Caenorhabditis elegans: one gene and its partners. The protein of the gene in region 3 purifies or fractionates together with the protein of the main gene of each other region. This does not show direct contact. Each region holds a gene or a part of one and is shown on either strand. Other genes may lie near its edges.

Region 1 (3,299 bases), on a different chromosome or scaffold from region 3:
TTTCCATTCACCTGAAAATGTAGAGAAAATGAAAGCCGGCACACCACTGAATGATTCTGATAGACTTCCATGGCTTCAAGCTATTAACAACTACGCAAGACTCAATCAAGGATACGTTATCGCTTGTTCTGCGCTTAAAAGACGTTATAGATCCATTCTTTGTGAACATCTTCCCAATGGAGCCAGCGGAAGAGCTGTTTTCATTCTGTTGAATTTAAAAAGGCAAGTAATGTTCAGCGCGCAAAAAAATGTGGTGAAAGAAATGGGCAGAAAAGTGAAAATGGACAACAAACAACTCAAATTCGCACTCGCTTCCGTCCGCTCGTTTTCCCACTTTCACACATTTTCACGCATTCATCGTTTCATTTTTTGCAGGGAAGTTCTTCAGCAACGCGTGAATTCCCGTCCCGGACACTTCATGCCATCTACTTTACTTGATAGTCAGCTGGCTACACTTGAACTTCCGAGTCCCGATGAATCAAATATCGTCACTGTTGATGCGAATAGTGAAAATGTGGATCAAATTGTTGATACAATTGTAAAGACTCTGGCATTGATTTGTGAATGATTCTAGAAATCTAAATAATATAAATAAATTTAATAATTTGTCATAACTGACAAGACAACCAACACAATAAACATTAAACAATAAATAAATACTAAACAAAACAATCTAAAATTAATCCACGTCTCTACTGTGCACGAGATAATTCAAAGGAACCATCGCTTTCTTTTCAGGATCGCGAGAAAGCGACTTCCGCATATCAAAAGCATCTTCGTCCCTATCTCCAGTGTAGTATCCAATAATTTGCCGGTAGACGACATATCCAAGCTTCTTATACAATTCGATGGCGATCTTGTTCGAAACACGAACAAACAGATCGACGAAATATGCTCTACGACTGAAAATTCTTAGATTTTAATAAAATATTAATTTGCCATCACTTACGCTTCAGAAGTACGTTCCAAGAACTCCATCATGTAGGCGGCTAGTCCCAATCGACGAAAATTTGGAGCCACAGAGAGAGCAGTTACATGTCCGTGCCAATTGGTGTCGCGTCCTTCGATTTTTCCCATGACTGAAAAATTAAACTATTTCACATTTATGTTTCATTTATTTTCAAACAAACCATAGGCCATAATTTCCCCGTTTGGATGTTCAGCAACTTGGTAATACTCCGGATAGTTCATCATATAGTGCAGGTAAAATTGGAAGCCATACTGCAAAAATAAATATATTTAAATTTTTTTTATTTACTGAGCAATTTACCGTTTCAGTGTTGATATCCAAGTTCACGTTATTGAACTTGAACATATCCATAACGTCGAATGGCCGGAGAGTTGTCATTTTTACTCGCAGTTCTGCAATATATTGCAATATTGAAGGGTAAATTTAAGTGTTATATTAATCACAAAGAAATTGCATTACTTGAGAGAGTTAACAAATTTTAAATTCGTTATTTGCAAACAAAATGGGAAAATAAATTTGGCGAACGCGGAAAAGAGTTGAAAAAGTGCTAAAACGAGGTGGCACTATTAAAAACGGTTCAAATAAATTTCGTAAAGGGCATAGCGCTGTGTTGTCAGAATTTAAATTATTTTTGCAGCTCGTTGATTTATTTTTAAGCATAAAACAAGCTATTATCAGGCTAATTAAGTTAAAAATTAATAAAAAAGAGTAAAATTCCAAATTAATTTGCAAATTCCTAAAGTACGCAAGTTTAGTGCGCGGTGTTTGCGGACTTGTCCACCGTAGTCCGTTGAAAAATTATCCTCTTTCGTTTTTTGTGTTTCAAAAAATAAATCGGTCAGGCGGTCAGGCGCTCCTCCTGACCGTCATCAAGTACAAACAAAACACTAACAGGAGAAAAAATCAATAAGTGACTAGCAGGGTGAGTATATTGTGTATACCTCTGCTTCTCTCTTCCACTTTTCTCTTTCTTTTAAAGAAATTCCAGTTTTTTTGCTTCCATTTTCACTTTCAAGTACACTATCTAATATACCTCATTTTGTATGCATTCAGGTGACTTGACTACTCGAATGGAAGCGGTTAACTAACAAAATATCAACATCATGCTAGGCTATTTTATGTAAGTTTAAATTTAGGCATTTTTCCACATTTTAAAACTTGATTTATTAAACGAAAATTTAATTTCAGTGTACTTATTCAACCGCTACTACTCTGTATCACAATTCTAGTCCTCTCAATTGTCATCTTCCTTCCAATACTGGTATATTTTCTTCCACGCTACACACAGTTCATCTTCTTTCTCAATTTCCGTTAGTTTTTCTTTTTTATCTTATCTTTTATCTTTGATCTATGTTACCTTGTTAAGGACGTCTGCCGAACACCGATTACAATGATTTGGCGTCGAACAACGTTAAATCAATCGGAAGATCTCTTCATTTGCCTGGAAAAAGTGGAAGGATTGGTGTTTGGCACATTCTGCCCAACAAATTGAGTTTAGAATGGAGAACAGAAGGAAAACATCCGACAGAGAGAGATTTTGACGATATGATGAGGGATTCAGAGAATCAGTAGGATTTTCAAAGAATGAATTCAAAAAAAATCAATAAATTTCAGAATTATCTTCTACGCTCATGGAAACTCGTTCGATCGCACATTCTACCATCGTGTGGAAATGTACAATTTGCTCAGTGATTGTAATTATCATGTCGTCTGTTTCGATTATCGAGGATATGGAGATTCAGAAGGAACACCAACCGAAAAAGGAATTGTTGAAGATACAAAAACAGTATACGAATGGCTGAAGGAGAATTGCGGGAAGACGCCTGTTATTGTATGGGGTCATTCGATGGGAACTGGGTGAGTTAAATTTATTATTTCACTGCAATCAGAAATTTTTAAACTCAATTTTTAAAGTACTGAGGATAATGCAAAAAAAAAATGCTGACTGATTTTGATATCAAAAAATACAAATTTAAGATGGCTTTTTTGAGCATAGCTCTAGTTCACCAAAATTAATAACATTTTTTCTTGAAAAATCGGGTTTCAAGAAATTAAAAACAGCTTCATATGTTGCAGGTGTAAATCAAAATTCGAAACTTCCATATTCAAAATTCGGAAATGTTTCGTTTTTTCCGAAAAATTGCTTCAAGTTTTGGCCATTTTTCTTTTTGTTAAAAAAAATTTAAACATTTCCAAATTTTTTTTATCATCGACATACACAAAAAAATTTTTTAATTGATTTTTTTTTGTTATATCAAACATTTTTTTCAGTTTTCTCTGAAAAAATGAAAATTTTTCGATGACACCCTTGATACTAATAGAGAAACTA
Region 2 (4,370 bases), on a different chromosome or scaffold from region 3:
AAAGAGAAAAAAATTAGACAATTTTCCAATAAAGAGCATTTTTACTAATTTTTTGTTCAGTTCTAATCTTTTAGAGACCATCAAAACTTTTGAAATAAATTTATTTTATTTATTAATAATATAAATACTTTCAAACTAGAAATAAAACATCTTGGTTTGTCGTAAAAGTTCTACAGACAAACAACAACATTTCGCTGCAAGACCCAGTCCAATAACAGGGCCTCCCTGTAAAACTGTTCTCAACTTTATATCATTTTAAGCAAAAAATGCAATCTGAAAATTGCTTAATGTCAGTTTTTCATGAACAGGTCAATGTAAATAGTAAATATCTGAAAATTCCGAGAAACGCAGACACATTGTCTCTATCTCTCGGCGTCTAACTCTCTCATGCTTTTTCCAATGCCTGGGGGTCGGTGCCTGTCGGTACTGGCGTTCAGTTTGTTGGGCCTCTGGGCGTCGGCATCCACAAGTGTGTCTCAACTTGTGTTATAAGGCCGTGCCATAAAGCAAAATGGAGATACGAGAGAACGAGAAAACCGGAATAAATAAATAAACAGGCTAAATATGAAAAAGTTGTTGGTAAAACATCAGTGATTAAGGTTCTCAACAATTCTTTTTTTTAATCAATAAAACATTGTGGGGGTGCAAATTGAGGAGGGTACAGACAAGAGACGTGCATTAGTTATTCATCAGTGTATTGGGGAACATGTATAATTGTCGTTATTCGAATCGATATCCACGTTTGTGCAGTACATTTTTTAGAAATTCGATACTTCCGTGGCTTTCTGTATTCAGCTTTTCTCCGCCGAGCTGGAAATTATTTTATTTTAATAGGCGAAAATTTTTTCTCATGCCTACATGCCTACACGCCTGCCTACCGCCTCAGATTTAAATTTTTCATAATATCCGATGTATAGAGTTGTAACAGTTTAAACTATCAATTTCTAATTTTCTTCCTTCGGAAAAAACCAATAATTGCCAGTAGGCACGGATCAGGCGTAGGTAGCTTTAAAGGCAGGCAGGCAGTTTTGTGTCTACTCGGCAGGCTTCCAGATGTTACAAATTGACAAAATGCAGAAAGTGCGAATTATTAAAAAAAAAATGAAATTCATGTTTCAACAAGTTTTTATATCAATTTCGATTTAATCATTTATTAATAGTTTAACGTCTTCCCGGGACTAAATTTTCATTGTATGTTTAATTGTGACCCATCTTTCATCACAAGTTTTCTAAAAGATTAAAACTGCAAAACCGATCAGTGTTTTCGAATTCCATTCATTTCATTTGATTGTTTCAAAAGCGGTCGGAGCAAATCGTGGATCGGTTTTGCAGTTCTCATCGTGGAGGTAATTAAAAAAACGTTTTGGGAGATTCTGATTCAAAAAAGGGGGTTTTTTGGAGGAAATTAGTTGTTTTTTGTCAATTTAATACCTAATTTTGTCTCACCAAAATAATTCGGTTCTCCTGTTCTTCCAACTCATCTCTTGGCTCTTCTTTAACAATTCGGCACCGCAAACTTGGTTTGGATAGGATTAATGCCGCGAAATATTTGTAATGTGATTCAACATCAGTCAGCATGTATTGTGCAATTCCTTCGTCGAAAATCTGGACATAATGAATACATAGTACAGTAGCCATGTTTTCTAGTGAAAGTGTTTAAAATGTTGTTGAAACAGTAATTTTTTTCGAATTTGTTTACTAAACCTATTTTGATTTATTCGACTGCAAAAATATTTGATCGAAAGTCACAAGAAGGTGTTTTTTCCTACTATTTTTTTGCGTGTACTGAAATGAAAAATATCACAGCGAAAATTTTTAAACAAATTTTTTGAAATTTCCTAAAAAAAAAGCCTTTCCTTTATTACAATTTTGGGAATTGACCGAAAAATTGTTCTTGTAATTTTATAATTTATTATGTATTTCTAATTAATTAAAACATTACAGAGTTTTTTTTATCTGCATGACTATCTCGGCAATTCGCATCGTACATTCCTCGCATTTTGCTCATACATTTAGAAGGAAGTCCGGAATGTACGACGCAATATACGACGAATATACGACGAACGAGGCAACCGAAATTGCAAAAAGGAGAGATGACCAATATGCGAGGAACATACGACGAAGTTAGGATTTCAAGTTTACTTGAAATTTTACAAAGTCCGTATTTTTTGGCTATTTACCAGAAATTTGAAAAATCTGAAACTTTTTGGTTCTATTAATTAAACGAAGTAACTACTCATACTTAGTTCTCCAAGATTAATCGGTATAAACCAGCTTGCAAGACATAATATGCTTAATATATTCCAGAAAATGTTCTAAAAATTACGAAAAAATATTTTGGCAGTTGAACCACAGTTAACATTGTCCGTCACGTGATACTTTTTTAAACGAAAATTCTGAAACAGTAAAATTTTAAAATTACCTTAATACTTGCATCAATTTCCCAATCGTGATTCCATCTTTCCACAAAAAGTGCAAGTTTATCCACGTGAATTTCAGTGATAGTCGGTCGAATGAGTCGTGTCGAAACGTCTTTCTCTCGGAACATTTTAGTCGCTGAAGAATCCATTAGTTGAATTAAAAGAAAGTATATAGACTAATGGACTTCAATTAATTGAGATTTCAATATAAGAAATAGGAACAAATGAAGAAGATTGATTTAAATTTGATAATAAAATGATAAAACTGATAAAAATGGGACGGTGATAAGCATGAACTATTGTCAACAAGAAACACGAATAACGTATCTTTTATATTCGAAATCACAAGGCAAAGTTAAGAAAAGTAATAATAACAGTTTCAAAGAGTACCTCAACGGGTAAACATTCCAAAAAAAAGAATCACATCTCAAGAGGAATGACTCATAAAAAGCACAAAACAAAAATAAAAGAATGAGGCAAAAAGAAGAACCCATTGTAAAAATATTTTGAAACAAAAGTGAATGAGATAGGATCGGAATAATAGTGACCGCCGGGAGGCTGTGGAGGTGAAAAATGAGATGTCTGTGGCAGTGACCGCACTTTAAATTGAAAAGAAGAGAATTGGAAGGAAGGATTTGTCACAGAAAATCACACTCGATTATTTACATTTTTGTAAATATTTAGAGTTTCCAGGGTTTTTAGAATGTTTGAAATTAAATATAAAAATTAGCCTCGACTTTATAAAAAGTTGCATTCTTTTGTATTCTTGATGTAAATATATATTATTTAATTTTCGATAGCTAAAAATCCAGAAAAAAAAACCACAATTTTTGGAAGCATAAACTGATTTCTTATTTTGCAAATTTCTAACTTCAAAATTCAAAAAAGCCGAGAACGCAATAGTAATTACGCATTGATTTTCAAACAATGTTTGAAACAGTAATAAAAATTCAAACCCTACATCATTTTAATTCTTCACAATTCGAGCATCTTGTGAAAATAACGAAAAATAAATAAATAAATCATTTTGCCACGTCACATTGGTGAAAACCATCTCAAAGTAAACACGATCTCTGATACTTTGATTAAGTGTGGGCGTCTATTTACAATTGCATTTTTTGAGATATAAATTAGCTTCAATACATTAAAAAACATTGTTTGAAAATTATCTACTTTGTCTGAAACAGTAAAACATTAAAAAGTGTAGTATTTGAAAAAAAACCTGAAAACCTACACAAAAAACTAAAATGTTCATGTTTCGTCAAGTTAAATAAAAATAGCTCTACTAAAACACAAAGTGCATGGGATTTTGAAACTAGATTTGGGCATCTATTGCGAAATTTGAAAACACTCTTGAAACTGAAAATTATTTACGTTTGTGTGCAGATTTCTTACAACATGAACAACTTTTTTCAGATTAAAAATTTAATGTTGAATGTTTTCTATCATAGTGTGGATTTCCATGGTAGAGTTTTTCAGGTATACCAGATCGCCAATACATTGCTACATACGAATAAAATCTACAGAGAACATTTTAAAACATTTTCTGCCTTTTCATATAATAACTTGATTTTGGAACGTTCGAAAATTTCCACTGTTTCACGTTAGTGGTATAATGACATCAAAACGGTTGTTTTTTAATTTATAGTTTGTCTACTTTCTTCTAGCCCGCGGCATTGTATTTTTATTTTTGTAAAATTATGTGAACTTCTAGAAATATCAAAAAAAGGAAGAATTTTCGTGGAAATTGAACTCAGATAGAAAATGCCTACTTTTGTACCTACAACCCGAATGAATGGAGATAGTCCATGCCTATTCTACAGTTAGAAATTAAGCGATACAAGGTGTATTCACGCAGGCAGGCATTGTTTTGCCTACAAGGCCTATTTCCCAGATAACGAAAATTCTCGACGTTACGCTTTTTTGCTCAGAATCAGAAAAAAAAATGAA
Region 3 (3,610 bases):
TTCAAAACTATTTTCAATCTAAAAAACCCTGAAATATTTGCAAATCTGCTTATTATATTGCGAAAATTTGCGATTTTAATGTAAAAAGACGGGTCTCGAAGCGACCGGGTTTTAAAGGGTACTGTTGTTGGAAATTTTTTGTTGCTGCCATATTTTAATTGACTATCTCAATTTGTCCCCCGTTTCTTGAAAATTTATCGAAAAAATGTGAAAATGCATAAAACATATACATAAAAATTTGAAGAACCTGGAGAAAAACTATGAAAAATCGATGAAAATTTGGCGAAAATTAGGAATTGGAAACTACAGTACTCTTTAAAGGCGCACACTTATTTGCAATAATTAAAAATCGGTCGCTTCGAGACCGAGTACAGTATTTTCGTGCAAAATATCAATATTTCATCTCTGTAATATGAATTTAACCAAAAAAAAATGCACTCTATTTTTATTCCCTAAAATTCCGATTCGAAAAAAGTTGAAGCTTTAGTTCTCCTGCCCCAGAACGCAATTAAAAAAAAAAAACTTTAAAACTTTTATTGCGGTTTTTGAAAAACCCGATAAGTGAATGATAAAATAAAATACATAAAAATCCGAATAATAATAATGTAAAAATGAAATTCTAGACAAATTAGAATATTCAGTACTTCTTCTTGAACATTTGTTTTCTCTTCAACTTTCGCTTCTGCTCTGCGGTAACTTTTCCGCGAACGAATTGCTTCTTTCTCAGATTGATTTTCTGGAAGTTTTGATCGCTTTTTGATGAACCGCCGAGTTTTCTGGCTGCTGGATTGTAGGAACGTGCTTTGGCAACATCTTCGTTTCTGAAAAAAAATTATAGATTGATTTGCATGAAATGTGTCAAAAAAATGCTTAAAATAGCCTGGAATCTGCAAATTTCCGAAAATTAAAGCTCGAAATTTCAATGAAAATCTAAAACTCACGTCTCATCATCGAATTCTTCAACCGGACCTTCAACTTCTTGACCCTTTTCCGGCGTTGGTAAGAGAAGCATTTTGAGATCCTGAAATAGGAAAATGGAAATTTTAAATTAGTATTTAAATAAAACAAACCCTCAATGGTCTCTGGTAAGCGCGTTTTGTTGGAGATTTGATCGGTGTTAGCGTAGATTTAACGGCAGATTTTGATGTGCTCGCGGAGTATGACTTCACAGGGGAAAAGTCGTCGAATTCGAACGGAACTGATCCCACTGGCTTCTGAAATTTAGTTTATTTTATTATTATAAAGATTATTAAAGTTTCAAACCTTTTTAGGCGACACCATGCTCTTTTCCGGCAAAACTTCGATCGCAATCATTTTCTGCAATTTTATTTTAAATTTCAGCAGTTTTTAATGCGATATCAACCTTTCTGGGTGAAGATCTCAGTGGAATTGGATTTTTATCATTTTCCGAGCCGAGCTGATTAAGATTAACTCGTTTTTTGATAGGGCTGAATTGCTCGCCTTCCATCATTTTCATTTCGAAATTCTTCCGCTTCACTCCACGTTTCGCTTGCTTCTCTTCGATTTTCTCGTCATTCTCCTTCTTTTCAGATTGAAGTATAGCTGAAATAATAATTTAATGTAAATACGTTTTTTTTTCCATTAATTACCTTTAATATGATTCGGAGCTACAGAAATATCTCCTGCCGTTGGTGATCTTCCATAAATCTCTCGGAAAGACGTTTTCCACTCTTCCATTACGTTCGGGCTGAAAATAATTTAAAAATTTAATTTGAAATCGAAAAGATTCGGCAGAAAACATGTGAAAACAAAGAAAATAAGAAAATAAATAGAGAAAATGAGAGCAAAAACCAAAAAACCAGGAGCTGTTTTCAAAACTCGCGCCAAAAATGTGTGGCAAGTGCGCTCCACCGCACACTTTTCCAGCGCTTGCTTTGAATCGCAGCTCTGTTTTATATATTTTTTCCACGTTTTATCTGAAAATTTCCAGATTTGTAGCCTTTTTTCTGTATTTTCTTGCTTTTAAACTGATATTTTGATGAAATTTTCTGAATAGGATAATATGAATAGAGAATATGAACTGTCAATTAGGAAACGCGTGCTTATTCCATATTAGGAATAAAATTTTAAATAATTCTACTTGGTTTTTAATTAAATTCAACTCCTTATTGTAAAGTTTGTAAACATTTGACTAATTTGAAGCTGTATTCCTTGAATTGTACTAAATAATTTGTTATTTAACATTAACATCATCTTCCTCTATCAAATATTTAGCCGAATGACATTTTCATTGAATTCAACTTTCTCTCCACTCCAAAACCTTGGCTCCATGAAATTGTCGAACTAATCGAAGAATTGCTGAAAAGGGATATGTCTCTGTTTCCATACTTCTTCTCCATCTCCCTTGCTTTTCTATTTCATTTCTCTTGCGGGTCCCTAATGATGGCAGGAGAGCCCCGTCCGCTGCCTTCAGTATATTCCAGGCTTTTCGCTCTAGAAAAAACAATCGAGAAGCGCGTCTTCTTCCTCTTCCCAGTTCTTGTTGCCTGCCATTCGTCCCTCCATTTTTCACATCGTCGTCTGCGTACCATATTGTGCACACATTCCCCTTCTCACTTTTTTTTTGCGTTGTCTCCGTCTCTTTGTGTCGTTCAACGTGTCTCTCTCTCTCTCTGCCCTCACAAAACCGGCTGACACGACACGGTCAGAGAAGAAGAGTCTGGCCACTGCTGCTGCGCCCGTCGCCCCTCTCTACGCTCCTTCTTCTCCACCACCCACTTCTCCATTCGCTTCCATAAGTCGGATGACGTGATACTGACTTCTTCTCCTTCGTTCACCATTCTCCACGGCGTCGACGTCCCTTTTCGGAGATGGACACGTTCGAGCTCGACTCGGACGCCTTCTACATTTGCACAGAAGTGTCACCGCGAAACTTTGTCGTTCAGAAGGTTTGTGTCATCTAATTTGCATTCGGGCGTGCCTCTGTGTAACGAAACACTCCTTTAAAGATTTGTATGTAACTAGAAAAATAAAATGGCTACTTTAAAAGTTAACAAACCCCATTTTAGTAGGGGTTTTTTATCGAAAAGTGTCAGCTACTTCTACGTCTACTTTCACTTAGTCTTCGCACCTATACCATAAAAACCGGATCTCGTTTCACTTTTCTTTAAGTCGTATATCGTGCGCTCCATAATATTTCACGGAGAGTTCAAATATTGCTTGAAATAATTTTTAGAAATACTCCGTGCTTTCCTTGAGTAAAGATAATTTTTTTTCTCAATTTTAAAATAATTCTGAAATATTTTGGAAGAATCATCTCAAAAGTTCATTTTCTGCATCTGCAAAAAGTATATTTCGCTTAAAAACGTATGACGCAAAGCCCCCGTTTGAATAACAGTTTCCAAAGTACTTTTTAAGTATTCTGGCAGCTGAATTGCACCTGCCTGGATATATTTCTCGTAGAGTTTTCCCGTGTGTTGTCTACTTCTTGCCCCATTCTGCCATTGAATTCTGCCACTGAATTCTGAAAATAGACGTATATATTTATTATCAAATCTTTATGATGTTTAATTAATAGGCACCAACTTTTTTTTCCTTTCTGACTCTGACGTAATTTAGACAAATGTATAATAGAGGAAAAAATGTGATT

Evidence for each region.
Region 1: the proteins of sld-2 (region 3) and natb-1 fractionate together in Caenorhabditis elegans (co-fractionation; one large-scale study listed by BioGRID). This does not show direct contact.
Region 2: the proteins of sld-2 (region 3) and T19E7.6 fractionate together in Caenorhabditis elegans (co-fractionation; one large-scale study listed by BioGRID). This does not show direct contact.

The regions. Positions count from the first base shown.
Region 1 is NC_003283.11:7,982,070-7,985,368, forward strand, and holds natb-1 (N-alpha-acetyltransferase 20), read right to left. Parts: upstream 1,363-3,299; 5' UTR 1,349-1,362; coding exon 1,271-1,348; intron 1,222-1,270; coding exon 1,131-1,221; intron 1,080-1,130; coding exon 950-1,079; intron 903-949; coding exon 680-902; 3' UTR 588-679; downstream 1-587. Other genes in the region: F26D11.1 (Gluconokinase), read left to right, coding at 1-222, 376-568; abhd-12 (Serine aminopeptidase S33 domain-containing protein), read left to right, coding at 2,074-2,090, 2,159-2,280, 2,337-2,538, 2,585-2,827.
Region 2 is NC_003282.8:5,666,948-5,671,317, forward strand, and holds T19E7.6 (SCP2_2 domain-containing protein), read right to left. Parts: upstream 2,557-4,370; 5' UTR 2,549-2,556; coding exon 2,423-2,548; intron 2,359-2,422; exon of another isoform or gene 2,338-2,358; intron 2,073-2,337; exon of another isoform or gene 1,974-2,072; intron 1,631-1,973; exon of another isoform or gene 1,610-1,630; intron 1,606-1,609; coding exon 1,447-1,605; intron 1,179-1,446; exon of another isoform or gene 1,154-1,178; intron 811-1,153; coding exon 721-810; 3' UTR 600-720; downstream 1-599.
Region 3 is NC_003279.8:3,739,556-3,743,165, reverse strand, and holds sld-2 (Ribosome biogenesis protein NOP53), read right to left. Parts: upstream 1,716-3,610; 5' UTR 1,699-1,715; coding exon 1,611-1,698; intron 1,564-1,610; coding exon 1,364-1,563; intron 1,318-1,363; coding exon 1,264-1,317; intron 1,215-1,263; coding exon 1,071-1,214; intron 1,022-1,070; coding exon 942-1,021; intron 822-941; coding exon 638-821; 3' UTR 519-637; downstream 1-518. Other genes in the region: larp-5 (HTH La-type RNA-binding domain-containing protein), read left to right, coding at 2,832-2,909.